Linked DNA regions of Saccharomyces cerevisiae S288C. The gene in region 2 interacts genetically with the main gene of each other region. Each region holds a gene or a part of one and is shown on either strand. Other genes may lie near its edges.

The links.
Region 1: of KEX2 (region 2) and GAS5, extra expression of one rescues a mutant of the other (dosage rescue), as found in Saccharomyces cerevisiae (one study listed by BioGRID).
Region 3: of KEX2 (region 2) and SEC7, changing one enhances a phenotype caused by changing the other (phenotypic enhancement), as found in Saccharomyces cerevisiae (one study listed by BioGRID).

Annotation. Positions count from the first base shown.
Region 1 is NC_001147.6:266,049-269,806, forward strand, and holds GAS5 (1,3-beta-glucanosyltransferase), read left to right. Parts: upstream 1-2,138; coding exon 2,139-3,593; downstream 3,594-3,758. Other genes in the region: OPI10 (Opi10p), read left to right, coding at 1-121; SIL1 (Sil1p), read right to left, coding at 216-1,481. UniProt on the Saccharomyces cerevisiae protein: Splits internally a 1,3-beta-glucan molecule and transfers the newly generated reducing end (the donor) to the non-reducing end of another 1,3-beta-glucan molecule (the acceptor) forming a 1,3-beta linkage, resulting in the elongation of 1,3-beta-glucan chains in the cell wall.
Region 2 is NC_001146.8:200,459-204,216, forward strand, and holds the start of KEX2 (kexin KEX2), read left to right. Parts: upstream 1-1,969; coding exon 1,970-3,758. Other genes in the region: LAP3 (bleomycin hydrolase), read left to right, coding at 111-1,475.
Region 3 is NC_001136.10:800,552-804,309, forward strand, and holds the start of SEC7 (Arf family guanine nucleotide exchange factor SEC7), read right to left. Parts: upstream 1,672-3,758; coding exon 1-1,671. Other genes in the region: YDR170W-A (gag protein), read left to right, coding at 2,644-3,758. UniProt on the Saccharomyces cerevisiae protein: Guanine exchange factor that acts as an activator of ARF1 at the trans-Golgi network and is thus involved in vesicular budding and traffic between compartments of the Golgi apparatus.

The DNA.
Region 1 (3,758 bases), on a different chromosome or scaffold from region 2:
ATCAGGGTTCCTAGATGCTCAGGGAAACGTGCCCATCAAGAGGTTTGATACATGGTGGGACAAATTTAGAAATAGACTGGCCAACGACGGGACGTTTTTGGATGAAGTAACTAAAAATTAGACACGGATATATAATATATCTCTAATAAGATTCACGAAATATTAATTGAAAAAAATATTATTAATATTAAACTATATATGCAATGACAGTGAAATCAGAGTTCATCTCTGAAATTTTTTATTCTATGAGCCATGGGGTTGCCAAAGATCAAGTGTCTGCTGTCGATAAGTTTCTTATCAAATGAGTCTTGTTCAGTATCTCTCTCTTGGAGCCCATTGTCCAAGTTAGATTGCCTGGCTTTACATTGTTGCGCTAACCAATTCAAAAACCCTTTGTTGATCGTGATGTCACTTTTGAAAATTTTCTTCAAGTTGTAAAGGGTGTCAAAAAACGTTCTTGTATGTAGTTCATCTATACTTTTGTTCTGGACCATCTCTTGGAACTCGTTTGCCCACTCTTGCAGATTTGACGACCAATTCTCAGCATTTCTTTTGAACAAAATTAGATTTGTATCGTCATTTTCGTACATGTCGGCCTTCAAAATTTTGCTGATCAACTCCAGGACTTTTATTTGTAACTGTTTGTCCTTGTTGTTTCTTTCATATACATTTTGTAAAACAACCGTAGAGTATATAGGAAGATCTTCGGATGTGACAGGTAATTCGTTTAAAATGGACAAGTATCTTTTTATTAGGATATTAGAGGATCTGTGGTTAGAATCATTCAAATTTGACAGAGCGGCCATGATTTTGCTTTTAAAATTTGGAAAACTTTCATTAATGAACTCGACTACAGGAGGATTGTTTCTCAAGCAGCTGGTAATGACTCTAGTACTGAGCTCTCTCAATGTTAACGGCAAATTTTCATTGAGACTAAGGTTGGCCAAGAGGGCGAATTCATGGGTAATAATTTTGTAGCCGTGCTTGTAATCATGCGCAAATTCCATTATTCTATCAAAACTATCCTCCAATCTGGCAATGTCCTGTGAAGATAAAGTCGGGTTAGAATCTATGATGTTTCTCATTTCTTTGAAATCACTGGAAAATTCATAGTCACCAGGCGATGCTTTCATGTCTTCTGAAGATACAATTAACTCATGGCTACCATTATCACCGACATTCTTCTCATCATTTAGTTTTGCCTCTTTTAAACCTGTGTCCATGTTTATTCTAATGTCCAAACCACCGGGGAGTTCTTGACCTGGCAGTATGGGCTGCCAATCGTGTCTTGGTTCAAATATCTTAGGATAGCAACGATTATCAACGCAGATCGAATTCCCTGAAATTTCAAGTTCTTTAAGATCTTCTGCAGATATGATTTCGCCTCCAGATGGCACTGAGTGTATGGATGAATGCAATATTGTACTCGCCACTAATTTCGAAGATAGGGCGCTCAAAATTATGGGAAGAATCCGGACCATTCTAAGTTTGCGTTCTTGGAAGTGATATTCAATATCGAGAACTTCCAGCGATGCGAAAACTAGTCTATTATAGTTGCTAATGTGTGCTCTATCATTTACGTGGCCTTTTCACATAGTCTGGTCTTTCTTAATTATCACAATTCCGTTACCCGAAATCTAATCTCGTGTTTAGCTTCGATCTGCGGACGTTACTTCTAACGTCCAGAACACTTCACCCGCTATTTACGTTTTGATCTAGTTGCGGCCTCCAAACCTGCAGATGAATCGTTCATTACATTCTTGCTGCCACTAGTTGGCCGCTGCGTATACAACAAGAAATATACTATGCATTTATGTAACGCGCTTTAGTCAGTAGCCTCAGTAATGCCTTTTCTAAGGTCAGTATGTCAATATCTCTCGGGTGAACCCCAACATTGTTGTTCTTTCTTCGTTGTTTCTCTCTCTTATCATCTTCTGTGTCTTTGCTTTCTTTTGTTCACAATTTCTCGAGAAAAAAAACTCCGCAGGAAATTTTTCACTTTTATTTTGCTTATACTATAAATAGGAAGGTCCCTGAACTGATTTGTTGACAGTGTTGCATTTCGTATATAAAAGTAAACAGTGGGCTGTAACAAACATATTATATATCACTCGCTACACACACAGCTCTAAATAGCTATGTTACTACGTTCTCTTACAAGTGCCTTCGTTTTAAGTGCTGGTTTGGCTCAGGCTGCTAGCAGCAGTAACAGTTCCACACCATCCATTGAAATTAAAGGCAATGCATTTTTTAATTCGGAATCAGGTGAAAGGTTTTATATCCGTGGTGTTGATTACCAGCCTGGTGGTTCTTCTAACTTGACTGATCCCTTAGCAGACGCATCTGTCTGTGACAGAGACGTCCCCGTTCTGAAAGATCTAGGGATAAATACTGTCAGAGTTTATACTGTGGATAACTCGCAAGATCATTCCCATTGTATGAAACTATTGCAGGAGAACGGTATATACTTGATCCTGGATGTCAATACCCCCACGAGTGCTATTTCTCGTTACGATCCAGCCTGCTCCTATAACGCTGACTACTTACAAAATGTCTTTGCCACCATTGATACCTTTGCTGATTACGACAATGTTCTAGGTTTTTTCGCTGGTAACGAGGTCATCAATAGTGTTAATACTACCAACACTGCTACTTATGTCAAGGCAGTGGTCAGGGACATGAAGAAATACATCAAGGCTAGAAAATACAGACAAATTCCGGTAGGTTACTCGGCTGCTGATATCGTCGCTAACAGACAATTGGCTGCTGAATACTTTAACTGTGGTGATGAAGCTGACGCTAGAATCGACATGTTTGGTGTTAATGACTATTCTTGGTGTGGTGAATCTTCATTTGTGGTATCGGGTTATTCCACCAAGATGAAGCTATATCAAGATTACTCCGTTCCTGTCTTCTTAAGTGAATTTGGTTGTAACCAAGTCAAGAGCTCTCGTCCATTCACAGAAATTGAAGCTATCTATTCCACTCAAATGTCTTCTGTATTCTCCGGTGGGCTAGTCTACGAATATTCCAATGAAACTAACAATTACGGGCTCGTTCAAATTGATGGTGACAAGGTCACTAAATTGACAGATTTTGAAAACTTGAAAAATGAATACAGCAAAGTATCCAACCCAGAAGGCAATGGTGGTTACAGTACTTCCAACAACTATTCTACATGTCCTGATTATGAAAAGGGTGTCTGGGAAGCTAATAACACTTTGCCTGCTATGCCAAGTGCTGCTTCTGCTTACTTCACATCTGGAGCAGGTTCTCCTATGGGAACCGGAATCGCCACCCAACAAAGTTGTGATGCTAAGGACGATGACGACGAAGAAGACGACGACACCTCCTCTTCATCCTCTTCTTCCTCTTCATCTTCATCTTCCGCTTCTTCATCTTCTGAATCATCATCCTCGACTTCAAAGGCATCTTCCTCCTCCCCTTCTGCTAGCGAAACGAGCTTGCTAAAATCTGCCGCATCTGCTACTTCGTCCAGCCAATCGTCCTCGAAATCAAAGGGTGCTGCCGGAATTATTGAGATTCCTTTGATATTCCGTGCTTTGGCAGAACTTTATAACTTGGTTTTATGAGTTTTCACCCCCGTTCTTTACCACATTGTTTCTAATTATTCCGTTAGCGCCGCTTACTTTTAATGTTCTTAAGATAAAAAAACATCATTAATATTATTATTAAAAAATTCATATATATACCTATATCTATATGCACTATTTATGCTTCCACTTTTCTTTTCTTTC
Region 2 (3,758 bases):
AATAGCCCTTGCTCTTTTGTTACATGCTTCCTACTTCTGTTTCCCGGTCCTTGTATCTCAAGACGTTTAGAAGCCACCTTTTACGAGCACCACAAATTGTTTTAAAAAGAATGTCCTCTTCCATCGATATCAGTAAGATCAACTCTTGGAACAAAGAGTTTCAATCCGACTTAACCCATCAATTGGCAACCACTGTCCTTAAGAATTATAATGCCGATGATGCACTGTTGAACAAGACTAGACTGCAAAAGCAAGATAACAGGGTTTTCAACACTGTTGTCTCTACTGATTCCACTCCAGTCACCAACCAAAAAAGCTCTGGTAGATGTTGGTTGTTTGCCGCTACCAATCAACTGCGCTTGAATGTTCTTTCTGAATTGAACTTAAAAGAATTCGAACTGTCCCAAGCTTACTTGTTCTTTTACGATAAGTTGGAAAAGGCCAACTATTTCTTGGACCAAATCGTCTCCTCGGCTGATCAAGACATCGACTCACGTCTCGTGCAATACTTGTTAGCAGCTCCAACAGAAGACGGTGGCCAATACAGCATGTTTTTGAACCTAGTCAAGAAGTATGGCCTTATCCCCAAAGATTTATACGGGGATCTACCTTATTCTACTACTGCGTCCAGAAAATGGAATTCTCTGTTGACTACTAAACTGAGAGAATTTGCCGAGACTCTAAGAACAGCTTTGAAAGAGCGTTCTGCCGATGATTCCATAATTGTCACTCTGAGAGAGCAAATGCAAAGAGAAATCTTCAGGTTGATGTCGTTGTTCATGGACATACCTCCAGTGCAACCAAACGAGCAATTCACTTGGGAATACGTTGACAAAGACAAGAAAATCCACACTATCAAATCGACTCCGTTAGAATTTGCCTCCAAATACGCAAAATTGGACCCTTCCACGCCAGTCTCATTGATCAATGATCCAAGACACCCATATGGTAAATTAATTAAGATCGATCGTTTAGGAAACGTCCTTGGCGGAGATGCCGTGATTTACTTAAATGTTGACAATGAAACACTATCTAAATTGGTTGTTAAGAGATTACAAAATAACAAAGCTGTCTTTTTTGGATCTCACACTCCAAAGTTCATGGACAAGAAAACTGGTGTCATGGATATTGAATTGTGGAACTATCCTGCCATCGGCTATAATTTACCTCAGCAAAAGGCATCGCGTATTAGATACCATGAAAGTTTGATGACTCATGCTATGTTGATCACTGGCTGCCACGTCGATGAAACGTCTAAATTACCACTTCGCTACCGCGTTGAAAATTCCTGGGGTAAAGACTCCGGTAAAGACGGATTATACGTGATGACTCAAAAGTACTTCGAGGAGTACTGCTTTCAAATTGTGGTCGATATCAATGAATTGCCAAAAGAGCTGGCTTCAAAATTCACCTCAGGTAAGGAAGAGCCGATTGTCTTGCCCATCTGGGACCCAATGGGTGCTTTGGCCAAATAAATAGTTTCAGCAGCTCTGATGTAGATACACGTATCTCGACATGTTTTATTTTTACTATACATACATAAAAGAAATAAAAAATGATAACGTGTATATTATTATTCATATAATCAATGAGGGTCATTTTCTGAAACGCAAAAAACGGTAAATGGAAAAAAAATAAAGATAGAAAAAGAAAACAAACAAAGGAAAGGTTAGCATATTAAATAACTGAGCTGATACTTCAACAGCATCGCTGAAGAGAACAGTATTGAAACCGAAACATTTTCTAAAGGCAAACAAGGTACTCCATATTTGCTGGACGTGTTCTTTCTCTCGTTTCATATGCATAATTCTGTCATAAGCCTGTTCTTTTTCCTGGCTTAAACATCCCGTTTTGTAAAAGAGAAATCTATTCCACATATTTCATTCATTCGGCTACCATACTAAGGATAAACTAATCCCGTTGTTTTTTGGCCTCGTCACATAATTATAAACTACTAACCCATTATCAGATGAAAGTGAGGAAATATATTACTTTATGCTTTTGGTGGGCCTTTTCAACATCCGCTCTTGTATCATCACAACAAATTCCATTGAAGGACCATACGTCACGACAGTATTTTGCTGTAGAAAGCAATGAAACATTATCCCGCTTGGAGGAAATGCATCCAAATTGGAAATATGAACATGATGTTCGAGGGCTACCAAACCATTATGTTTTTTCAAAAGAGTTGCTAAAATTGGGCAAAAGATCATCATTAGAAGAGTTACAGGGGGATAACAACGACCACATATTATCTGTCCATGATTTATTCCCGCGTAACGACCTATTTAAGAGACTACCGGTGCCTGCTCCACCAATGGACTCAAGCTTGTTACCGGTAAAAGAAGCTGAGGATAAACTCAGCATAAATGATCCGCTTTTTGAGAGGCAGTGGCACTTGGTCAATCCAAGTTTTCCTGGCAGTGATATAAATGTTCTTGATCTGTGGTACAATAATATTACAGGCGCAGGGGTCGTGGCTGCCATTGTTGATGATGGCCTTGACTACGAAAATGAAGACTTGAAGGATAATTTTTGCGCTGAAGGTTCTTGGGATTTCAACGACAATACCAATTTACCTAAACCAAGATTATCTGATGACTACCATGGTACGAGATGTGCAGGTGAAATAGCTGCCAAAAAAGGTAACAATTTTTGCGGTGTCGGGGTAGGTTACAACGCTAAAATCTCAGGCATAAGAATCTTATCCGGTGATATCACTACGGAAGATGAAGCTGCGTCCTTGATTTATGGTCTAGACGTAAACGATATATATTCATGCTCATGGGGTCCCGCTGATGACGGAAGACATTTACAAGGCCCTAGTGACCTGGTGAAAAAGGCTTTAGTAAAAGGTGTTACTGAGGGAAGAGATTCCAAAGGAGCGATTTACGTTTTTGCCAGTGGAAATGGTGGAACTCGTGGTGATAATTGCAATTACGACGGCTATACTAATTCCATATATTCTATTACTATTGGGGCTATTGATCACAAAGATCTACATCCTCCTTATTCCGAAGGTTGTTCCGCCGTCATGGCAGTCACGTATTCTTCAGGTTCAGGCGAATATATTCATTCGAGTGATATCAACGGCAGATGCAGTAATAGCCACGGTGGAACGTCTGCGGCTGCTCCATTAGCTGCCGGTGTTTACACTTTGTTACTAGAAGCCAACCCAAACCTAACTTGGAGAGACGTACAGTATTTATCAATCTTGTCTGCGGTAGGGTTAGAAAAGAACGCTGACGGAGATTGGAGAGATAGCGCCATGGGGAAGAAATACTCTCATCGCTATGGCTTTGGTAAAATCGATGCCCATAAGTTAATTGAAATGTCCAAGACCTGGGAGAATGTTAACGCACAAACCTGGTTTTACCTGCCAACATTGTATGTTTCCCAGTCCACAAACTCCACGGAAGAGACATTAGAATCCGTCATAACCATATCAGAAAAAAGTCTTCAAGATGCTAACTTCAAGAGAATTGAGCACGTCACGGTAACTGTAGATATTGATACAGAAATTAGGGGAACTACGACTGTCGATTTAATATCACCAGCGGGGATAATTTCAAACCTTGGCGTTGTAAGACCAAGAGATGTTTCATCAGAGGGATTCAAAGACTGGACATTCATGTCTGTAGCACATTGGGGTGAGAACGGCGTAGGTGATTGGAAAATCAAGGTTAAGACAACAGAAAATGGACACAGGATTGACTTCCACAGTTGGAGGCTGAAGCTCTTTGGGGAATCCATTGATT
Region 3 (3,758 bases), on a different chromosome or scaffold from region 2:
CTTTCCTGGTAGAAAAATGTTGTGGGAAAGGAATACGTCAATATGATCTTTGATAATAGAGTAAATGATGTGAAGAGATAAAAGCTTTGACCTGACGGCATGTGACCTCATGTCGAGTTCTGTTTCCAAAGGTTTAGCACATATTTTCGCCATGACTCTAAACACTAAGAACGCATCTTTAACAGCTAGATCTTGGTTAGTTATGGCGATAGAATCAGGCTGTTGAGCGTCCATTAGTCTTTCCTCATCGTCATTCAACTTATCCATATTTTCCAGAGTTAAAGGAGCCGGCGTTTCTGCATTTTCAGAAGCCTCGGAAAGTTCTATGGCGGATTGTTGTTGATGATTTTTTGTCGATAAGGATACTGCTGAAGAGGTACTTTGTTTGAGATCGATTTTATCATACACCGAACTAATAATTTGTGTCAAGGTCGCCTGTGCAATACCTTGATTGGATGGGTTCAACGAAAAGACGAAAACGTTGTAGATTGTTCTGATAGCCTTTAGCAAGGAAGCACCGTGGCATAAAGAACTTGAATCCTCTTCTAAAATGCAACTAGATAAAGCTCTAACGATTTGTAGTTCCACACGGTCATCAGTGCCTTCACCTTGAAAACAGTCTGAAATAGTATCAATTGCAGCGTCTATAATTTTTTGTTTTGGAGGCGGCGTTATTCCATCGGCAGCATCTTGTCGTTGATCATTAGAGGCTAAAGAATCGGGTGGATTCACTAACAGGGTCTCGTCTAGCGATCTAAAAGAAAACAATTTTGACAGGCAATCTAAAGCCAAACTTTGAACTTTGGAGGATTTGGTACGACAGCTTGCCCTTAGTGCTTCGAATACTAGTATTGAATCCACGTAATGTGGGTTATTCGTGGTTTGCGGATCAAATTCCTTAAATTTTTGTAATGTCCTTTCGATAGCCTTCTGAGCATTCGAATTCTTTTTAATGTCCTTATCATTTAAAATTGTCTCCAACGTAGTTTTCACTAAAATTATGGTTGAGTTTGTGTTCGAACCATTTGAAGATAGTGATATGTTCCTCGTATGGGTAGACCTTGGGGCAGTAGAATCGTTGGTGGGAACACTATCTTGATGAGCGATAGCTGGTTCGCCAGCATTTTCCTCTTCTTCTTCTTCTTCTTCTTCTTCTTCTTCTTCTTCTGACCCGCTTTCATCACCAGAGGAGCTGTTTGATGTATTTCCATCGCTTTCATCAGATTCTTCATCTTCTCCAGAGCTACTCTCAGTACTTTCCCCTGAGACTGATTCAGAATCTTCCCCGTCTTCGGAACTGGTTTCGGAACTACTGCTATCCACGTCCTCATCATCCTCGTCCCCATTGTCTTCATCTTCATCTTCATCTTCATCTTCATCTTCATCTCCATCTTCACCTTCATCGTCATGGCGTTTGTCATTTGTATCTTCCGTTTCTTCGGGCGTTTTCATTCCGTTGGTAGCGTCGTTACTTGTTTCTTTTGTTTCTGCCGTACTGCCAGCGTTTTCTGGCCCTTTGCATTTTTGATCTTCACCATTTGTCTCTTTAGCTTCTTCTTTAATAGCATTCTGTGGTTTCACAGACGGATTGACTGAAGAAGCAGTCTCTACATTTGAAGATATTTCGCCATCCCCTTTTTCAGCATTTACTACTGAATTCTGTTCAGACATCAGATATAGTAGCACTTAGACTTGTTTCTTATCTTCTTTAATGGAATTCGGGGAAAAAATGAGAAAGAAACAGTTTAAGATATTACTTTTTATTGGTTCTGGAGAAACTTAAAAGAAATCGAGTATAGCTTAGTTGCAGAAAATATTTTATATTTCTCCGGAAAATGACTTCAATTTCTATTAGTCTGCGTTTATTGAACAATTGGAGAGAAGCCAATGATGCTTTTTAAAGAAATGATGTAAATCCCAACTTTGAGCTTCCTTTCTCGTTGCTTTGTTTTTCCCTCGCCTCGATATTATAAAATTTACTCGGCGCCTTGATAAAAACTAAACGTTCACCTTCTTTCCTGTAGAGGGAAAATAACAATATGTATAAGCCTTCTCCGACATCAAAAAACTGTAAGAGCTTCAAAAGTACTAAAGTGTATATCTTAAGAGCATCGTTGGCTCCACTCTAACACATCAACAAAAAATATCAATGTTGATTTGTTAGAGTAAAAATAAAAAGAGGTCCTACCCGGATTCGAACCGGGGTTGTCCGGATCAAAACCGAAAGTGATAACCACTACACTATAGGACCGACAATTCATGTTAAATCCTCCTTTTTTAGGCTTTTATAAGTTACTTTGACTAGAGATGACTAGAAATGATTATATTACACGCACACACAATACACACATAGTGTTGGAATAAAAATCCACTATCGTCTATCAACTAATAGTTATATTATCAATATATTATCATATACGGTGTTAAGATGATGACATAAGTTATGAGAAGCTGTCATCGAAGTTAGAGGAAGCTGAAGTGCAAGGATTGATAATGTAATAGGATAATGAAACATATAAAACAGAATGAGGAATAATCGTAATATTGGTATATAGAAATATAGATTCCATTATGGGGATTCCTGACCCTCGAGGAGAACTTCTAGTATATTCTGTATACCTAATATTATAGCCTTTATCAACAATGGAATCCCAACAATTATCTCAACATTCACCCATTTCTCATGGTAGCGCCTGTGCTTCGGTTACTTCTAAAGAAGTCCAAACAACTCAAGATCCGTTAGACATTTCAGCTTCCAAAACAGAAGAATGTGAGAAGGTTTTCACTCAGGCTAATTCTCAACAGCCAACAACACCTCCCTCAGCTGCTGTTCCAGAGAACCATCATCATGCCTCTCCTCAAGCTGCTCAAGTACCATTGCCACAAAATGGGCCGTACCCACAGCAGCGAATGATGACTCCCCAACAAGCCAATATTTCTGGTTGGCCAGTATACGGGCACCCATCTTTGATGCCGTATCCACCTTATCAAATGTCACCTATGTACGCTCCACCTGGAGCACAATCACAGTTTACACAATATCCACAATATGTTGGAACACATTTGAACACCCCGTCACCTGAGTCAGGTAATTCATTTCCTGATTCATCCTCAGCAAAGTCTAATATGACATCCACTAATCAACATGTCAGACCACCGCCAATCTTAACCTCACCTAATGACTTTCTAAATTGGGTTAAAATATACATCAAATTTTTACAAAATTCGAATCTCGGTGATATTATTCCGACAGCAACAAGAAAAGCCGTACGTCAGATGACTGATGACGAACTCACCTTCTTATGTCACACCTTTCAACTATTTGCTCTATCTCAATTCTTACCCACCTGGGTTAAAGACATCTTATCTGTTGATTATACAGATATCATGAAAATTCTTTCCAAAAGCATTAACAAAATGCAGTCTGATACTCAAGAGGTAAATGACATTACGACCCTAGCAAATTTGCATTATAATGGAAGTACACCTGCAGATGCATTTGAAGCAGAAGTCACAAACATTCTTGACAGACTAAAAAACAATGGCATTCCTATCAATAACAAGGTAGCATGCCAATTCATTATGAGAGGTCTATCTGGCGAATACAAATTTTTACGCTACGCACGTCATCGATATATACATATGACAGTTGCTGATCTGTTTTCAGACATACATTCTATGTATGAAGAACAACAGGAATCAAAACGTAATAAATCTACTTATAGGAGAAGTCCGAGTGATGAGAAGAAAGACTCTCG